2 linked regions of the Bombyx mori genome follow. The protein of the gene in region 2 interacts with the protein of the main gene of each other region in a pairwise test. Links are inferred from orthologs where the notes say so. Each region holds a gene or a part of one and is shown on either strand. Other genes may lie near its edges.

Region 1 (3,450 bases), on a different chromosome or scaffold from region 2:
GCATTTGTCAGGAAAATAGGAAGACTACTTTTGATATCGATTTTATATATACCTATTGACAATTGAAATATTAGCTAAGCTAAGCTGTCGAAGTCGTGGCCTAAAGGATAAGACGTACAGTGCATTCGTGTTGAGCGATGCACCTGTGTACAGATCCCAGGCGAGTACTAATTTTTCTACGAAATCGTACTCATCAAATATTCACGATTGACTTCCACAATTAAGGAATAACATCGTGTAATAAAAATTTAAACCCGCAAATTTATAATTTGCGTATTAACTGGTGGTAGGACCTCTTGTGAGTCCGCGCGAGTAGGTACCACTCCCCTGCCTAATTCTGCCGTGATGAAGTAGTAATGCGTTTCGGTGTTTTGAAGGGTGGGGCAGCCGCTGTAACCATACAGAGATCTTAGAAGTTATATCTCAAGGTGGGTGGCGCATTTACGTCGTAGATGTCTGGGCTCCAGTAACCACTTAACACCAGGTGGGCTCGTTGACCCATCTAAGCTAATAAATAAAAAAATCTTGAAGACTCAACTTTGAAAGAAATTCAAAGCTAAAATGACATTATTATTTTTTAGGGTACTTATTATTAGTACTTTATTTAATTTATTTCAATATATTAAATAGTTTTAAGCTAATTTTATAGTTTGCAAGTGAAGTTTATATCTTTTTAAGCTTATTAATCAATAAAAATCACAAGACATGTCCAGCAGCAGATGTCTCTGTGCTAACAAAATAGAAAAAAGAAAATATTAATCAATAAAAGTACAAAGTAAGACAAATTCTTTTATTCAGTTGTTATACAATGACTGTCTTAGACTTTGAACTCTGAGTATGGAGACTTAGTCAGCGGGATATCCCTCCACAAGTCAGGAGTGAGGTAGGCATATGTCTTGGCAATGGCAGCGTATGTGGCTTTAGCAAAATTTCCCAAGGTGCCAGTTGAACCACGAGCTGACGTGTAGCAATCCTGTACACCAGCCATCTGAAGAAGCTTCTTAGGAACTGGCGCAGACACAATACCAGTACCACGAGGGGCAGGAATCAGCCGGACTGTTACGGAACCACACTTGCCGGTGACCTGAAAAAACAATTGTTTGTTTGATTTATTAAAACGATCGAAACCAATTTTATGTTTTCATTTCACAATTAAATTAATTCAGACGTTCAAAAGCTTCACAGGATAAACCTCAAGAGGATACCACGAATGAAATGATTAGAATGTTATCATCATTTATACAATTTAAATATTTTTTTAAATATAGAAGTGGCATTTACCTTGCAAGGGACGGTGTGTGGCTTTCCTATCTTGTTACCCCAGTAACCTCTTCGGACTGGTAGAACTGACAGCTTAGCAAGGATAATAGCGCCTCGAATGGCAGTGGCGACTTCCTTGCTGCACTTCACACCCAAACCAATATGACCGTTGTTGTCGCCAATGGCAACAAATGCCTTGAAACGTGTGCGCTGTCCGGCACGTGTTTGTTTCTGTACAGGCATGATCTTAAGAACCTCATCATTCAGGGACGGGCCGAGGAAGAAATCAATGATCTCGAATTCTTTGATTGGTAAAGAAAACAAGTAAATGCTCTCGAGTTTGTCGATTTTTCCTTCGCGAACAAGACGGCCGAGTTTGGTGACAGGAACCCACTCTTTCTGGTCTTCCTTGCCGCGCCCACGACCACGGCCGCGACCACGACCGCGTCCACGAGGACCGCCACGGCCTCTATCTCCACCGCGTGATCCGAATCCGCCGCGAAAACCGCCACGTCCACCGGCTGGAGCAGCGTCCGCCATTCTGGAATTTATAGTTTATCTTGTTAATAATTACTAAATTATAGACAATTTACACAAAGAATAGCTATTTATCAGACGCATAAAGGCCATCACTGTGCTAACACTATGGTAGATACCACGAATGAATTAAAAAAATTGTGTCATCATAAACCACGTGGTGAGGGGTTGAAAATTGAAAAGAGATCCTTTGGACGATGGACGCTTAAATTGAGTCTTCTCAGTAAACAAAACACTTGCATAACTAAAAAGTTAAAACTAAAAATAATTGGGATATTAAATTCATTTAACTCTAAAACTTACGTTGAACGATGGGCTCTGATAGACAGTCAAGCACAAAATGGCCGTTTGAACTTATTTAGTTCAATAGAGCCTAACAAAGTATCGAGAAAATCGAATGTGCTGTCATTAGATTATCGATGTTTTTTTAAAACCCTCGATTTTTTTAAAAACTCGATCCGAAAATGGTGTGTTTTAATTAATTAGAAACCTAAAATATTTTTAAATCAAAATCTCAAGTTTTATAATGATTAATAAGGACTAACTAAACTACTAACACATCTTTCTTCTAAATGCGGTTTTTTTTTTTAATAATAATATATATATGGATAGCTAAGACTATCTGGGTACACGGTGAGGTTGGATTCCTCAATTATCGACGTTATTAATAAAAAGATGCATAAGAAAGCGGATAGAGAGAGCGGTAATTGTTGAGTCAGTGCTGAGACCAAGAGTAATGAGTAATAGAATAACTTTTTCACTATACTTTCGCAATAAGGCACATTGTGCTTTGTTGTGCAACAATGTGTTGCGTTGAATATCTTTGATCCTACTTGAATCTTCAAAATGTTTATGTAACTATTTTTTTGTGTTTATTTAATTCAGTTACACGTGATTCGATCTGTATTTCTGATAAGATTTAAATAATAAAGAGAGCCAAATTTATCTATATACACCAACCTAATTAAATTTTCAGAAACGTCGTATCTGTACAATCATAAGTACTTAATCTAGTTGGACATAGAATCATCCTAGAAAAAAGTCGAAACCAATTCGTCAGATAACGCTGACATAGCCTCTCAATGCTATCAGCAAAGGTAAACGAAAAAAAAACAAAAAACGACACCACTTTACTTAATTTCAGTCGACAAACTCTCATGCATCTATTCTATCATTAAAGTAGTTCGTTTAGAAATAGTCTCGTAGACTGAAAAAATCTCACATTTCGTAGGGAGTGATTTGTGCTGCGTAGCTCTAGTCGCTACGAAGCACAGACCATTTATTTATGACCTAAAGGTCTTAGTTACCATGTCGAAAGATCCCTTAAAAAAAATTATTTTTTATTTATTATTTTTATTAAATCTTAAAGCCATAGTCCATACACGTAACGATATACTTGTGCCATAACGTCTTCCTCCGGGTGGCCACGTCCCCTGGATTTTCTTTTTCATTCTCAGCAGGGGCAAATCCTATTTATAATTTCGCATATTATTATGCCAAACATACGTTTTTGACAGTATTTCAAATCCCACTTTTTGTGGTCATTTGCAAGATTTTACTTTAAAGAATTCAATCAATCTACAGTATCTTCATCATTCTGTGCACCCATGTGAATTTCAAAAGCTTCTACGTTTATATTCTCGGTGTGTTTTA
Region 2 (4,396 bases):
ACACAATTTTGTCCAGTTGTCCATTGGGAATTCCTATTATGTGGGAAGGTTCCTATTAAAATTTTTAGTAGCATATTCTGAATGAGTGACTCTGTTTATGATGGTGCAGATATAGGTATACATATATGCCTTTCTTTTTTTTCCTACCTATTCTAGTGACCTCGAGGGCCATACTAGATTCACCAGCGAGTATGTGAGCTTACGGGGCTCTAACCTGGGGACGTGGCTAACACTAGCTGTATCAAGAACAGTGTCTCGCAGAACCTACCTGAGAAAACCCGGTAGAAACTCAGTGGGCTATGTCTATGGGTATTTTTTATTTTTTATTGTTTAGATGGGTGGACGAGCTCACGGTCCTCATGGTGTTAAGTGGTAACGGGAGTCCCTAGATATATACAACGTAAACGGCGCCACCCACCTCGATACGTGAGCTGTAAGGTCTGTTTTAACAGTACAACGGCCGCCCTACCATTGAAACCAAAACGCATTACTGCTTCACAGAAATAGGTGGGGTGGTGGTAGCTACCCGTGCAAACTTCTAAGACGTGCTACCACCAGTAATTATGTACTTTATAATTTTACGAGCTTGATTTTTATTACACGATGTTATTGCTTCACCTTGGAAGTCAAAGAACAAGTGGAAGTAGTATGGACGTATTTCATAATAAAAATTGGTACACGCCTGCGGGATTCGAACACCGGTATATTGTTCGACACGAATGCACCGGCCGTCTTACCCTTCGTCGCAAGCCATGGGTTCGACGAGAACGGTGACCAGTGCTTGAGGTACCTAAAAGCACTGATAGTGGATCGGGAGGATCCGAAATTACGTGTTTAGGACTACGTGGAGTGTTTACTATTCGATCCGCAGGTAAACGCCTGATCGATATACGCTTGGCAGTTTAAGACATCAATTCTAGTAATCAATCAGATATTTTTAAAAATGGTTAGTTTAGTGATGTTTTCAAAAAAAAATCAATTGGTATTTAGAAAAGTAGGATAGTATTTATTTTGCCTCATAAAAAATTGCTGCATATACAAAAGATACAATTGTAGTTTGAACTGAAAAATATCTACAAACCTAAGTGAATAGTTATAATCCCGTGTTTTCTCTATCTAACTACAATATAAATATAATATTAAATCTAATTATTATTATTTCAAATATAATTTAATTGGATCCTTTTGGTAAGCTTCAGTCTCTAGTTAATTAATAAAACAAAACAAGGATGTGACAGATGTTGAAACAGATGGATATAAAATCATATGGCAATATTAAAATCAGGGAGGTGATGATTGGATCAAATGTCACCACTCCATTTAAAAGATAGTGTTTTTTAGCAAAAAGAGAATCTGATTTGGGAGACGTTTGAAGGAGCTAACAGCCTTCTCAGTGTACATTGGTTACCAGAGAACCCTTAGAGGTTACAACATGAATAGTTTTGGAGATTTATTTTGACTGAACAACATATGGTACAATAACCAGCATACTGAAGATGCTCTCTGCCTAGATTATATAACGCTATGAATTTTAATATGAACCCTAATTGAAGATACTAAATTGTGAAGGAGCATTCAGAGGCTAAATAACTAAACTTCATTTCACTGTGTAACTGCTATCACTTAGGCAGCAAAAGATAGTATTCAAAGAGCATATTATCTCAAGAGGGTCAAGAATGTCTAAGGAAATTTGTGTAATTCAAGCTGGGTTTAAGCCTGTACAAAAAAAATTAAAAGTTTACGGTAGTCAAAACTGATACTTCTGGGTCCCAGTGATGGATTCAAACTGTTGGGTTAATAGTTCCACCAGCTTCTGAAGTCAATAAGTACAGCACCTTCTAGGCCACTGACTAGAGCAACTTGAATGCCACAATTAATTCTACACCATTTGAGGGATGTCAACAAGAAGATTGACACCTGCTGGTAAGATTTAAAGCGAATTATTCCATGACTGGGATAGATTTTTCAAGCTTCTTAATAATCAAACAACTCAAAATTAACACTGTTAATAAATCAAACCTCATCTTTTTCTTCATATGGTTGATAGGAATAGAAATCATTCGTTCTAGGAAGCTGACAGCGTAGTACAATAAAGTTATCAGTGTGGTTTTTACTGCAACAATTTCCATTTTTACAAATGAAAATAAATATAGTTCTATGAAAGCAATCTTCTACATCTTCAAACGGAGCATAAACCTGAAAGAATAGTTATAATAATGACCTTAAATATTTTCAATATGCTTTGTTAATATTGTTTAAAATGACGTACTTGACACAAGAAAACTGTAGGATCCTGGCATTTTTTACACAAAAGCTCACTAGATTTCGGTAGATCCTGCAGATTAAGCCAGGATGGTTTTCCGCCAATTTTGCTTGGAAAGAACCTTGGATGTAAAAGCCAACTAGGTTTTTCTTCTAAAACGCCTATATCCACTTTTCTGGGCTCCATTTAAATTAAACGAAAACTGTGTTATATTAAATCCAATTCAGTATTTTTATGTAGTGTTAAAAACGTTTTTCATTTTTCAAGTAAAATAAACAAATCTATTAGACTCGTGTGTTACTGCTATCTATAATAAGAGTTTAAAAGTTAAAAGAGAATCGCAACACGCACATTTTAGGTTAGTTTAAGTAAATCCATAGGTACATTAGGTATATACTAGGTAGGTACATACAACATACCTACCTATTTAAGCTAATCAATGTAAGTAATTATCTGTGCATGTTGATACACTAATTTAAATCAAGTTTTTGGCGGGAACGCGAGGAGTGAAGTTGTGTGATTTGTTTTATGTTGTCTATTTATAGTTTCTTCAGGTTTAAATGGGTTATAACGGTGGTTTATTAACTGTTTAATATCTTCGAAAGTGCACAAATGTGGGAAAATGAAACAAAGCCGCTAGACGTAACTTCTCGGGATCCTTCAAACAGTTCACTGAAAAAGTCTCAGTAAATGTCCACCATTTTACGTATTGAATTACGAATTTGAAATTCGTATCAAGATTTAAAATTTAGTTCCTCAATATCCCAACCCCTGATGACAAAAATTATCCCTGAAACATTTCGGGCTGTTTATAAATGTCTGGCACATTAAATAAAGGCGACCGAAATTAATACTTTATTCGGAAGTAAAAAACAAACTAAAACGTCCTTACGCATGGAGAGTTAGGACTGAAACCATTATGTAACTAAATGCGACTACACCTTCCTAAATGCGTTTCTAATTAGGCTTCTATATGATTTAGTCAGTCAGAAGTCAGAAACCATCCTTGCTACTGAATTTAGTAGGCTAAATTTAGCCAAGAGTATTATGCCTTTTACTTAATCCTTAATGCTAAATCCAGGGCAATAAAAAGCAAAAGTCATATCATTTGAATGAGGAGTGAAACGGAAAGGAAATAATTAATATTTATTTTTAAATGAAATGAGAGGAGGAAGACAGCGCAGGTGTTAGCAAAGATAAAATGAAAAAATCTCAGTAAAAGAATGAGAATTTACTGAGAATTACAATTTCTTTATAAGAAAAGTCGAGAAGCCGTGCAAGCAAATTAATTACATTTACGTTTAATTGTACTATTAAAATGAATATTAGGCTAAAATAACAGAATACCGGCCATTAAATATTAAAAAGAAATAATTAAGTGTGATTTAAAAAAAATTATTAAGTGTTGATCCCTGTATTCTGTAGGTATTCAGACCGGCAAAGAAAACGGGACCATACGATCTACATGGGTACTAAGAACGGCACTAACCTAACCTTTAACTTTTGTCACTTTTGTGAAGAATGTAAACAATGTGGTGTACTTATTATTTGTAAACAAATAATAAAATTTAATATATCTAGTAGATATCAGAATTGTAAAGTCAGTCTGTAAACTCTGTAACGATGAAAGAAATCTGCGATATTATGGAAAAATTTGCTGATGCCAAAATAAATAAAACATATTTGAAAGTATGTGCCCCGATGGTCAGATACAGCAAAGTTCATTTTAGAACTTTAGTAAGAAAGTGAGTCTATTTAACGACTTGTTGATTTATCTAATTTCGAAATTGTAATTGATTTTTTGTCGTATGTCTGCTCTCAGCCATCACACTAAGTGATTGTAGTATAATCGTCCATCTATCAGCTTACAATTTACCTACACAAATCACTACCTCTGCTCTTTCAACGGAAGTTAATTCCGACCAGTAGGACAAACATGACCAATTTTAATATGTTTAGTGTCTGATAGCAAGGTAATTGAAATCTGTTTGTACTGGCACTGCAGCTTTGAATGTGCTGGTCTCTGGAAATGTTTCAATTGAGTTTTAATTGTTAATTAAAATAAATTGGTGGAGTCTCATTAGTATTTTGTCTCATATAATTCTTATTTTTCAGTTTTAATGCAGATCTATG

What was found.
Region 1: the proteins of programmed cell death protein 2 (region 2) and RpS2e interact in a two-hybrid assay, tested with the Drosophila melanogaster proteins (2 studies listed by BioGRID). The link is inferred for Bombyx mori from reciprocal best matches to the Drosophila melanogaster genes Zfrp8 and RpS2.

What each region holds. Positions count from the first base shown.
Region 1 is NC_085119.1:4,434,714-4,438,163, reverse strand, and holds RpS2e (ribosomal protein S2), read right to left. Parts: upstream 2,127-3,450; 5' UTR 2,101-2,126; intron 1,802-2,100; 5' UTR 1,801-1,801; coding exon 1,282-1,800; intron 1,087-1,281; exon of another isoform or gene 1,085-1,086; coding exon 818-1,084; 3' UTR 777-817; downstream 1-776. UniProt on the Drosophila melanogaster protein: Component of the ribosome, a large ribonucleoprotein complex responsible for the synthesis of proteins in the cell.
Region 2 is NC_085128.1:8,869,643-8,874,038, reverse strand, and holds the start of programmed cell death protein 2, read right to left. Parts: upstream 2,933-4,396; 5' UTR 2,450-2,932; coding exon 2,270-2,449; intron 2,197-2,269; coding exon 2,020-2,196; intron 34-2,019; coding exon 1-33. Other genes in the region: tRNA-dihydrouridine(20a/20b) synthase [NAD(P)+]-like, read left to right, coding at 3,887-4,008, 4,379-4,396.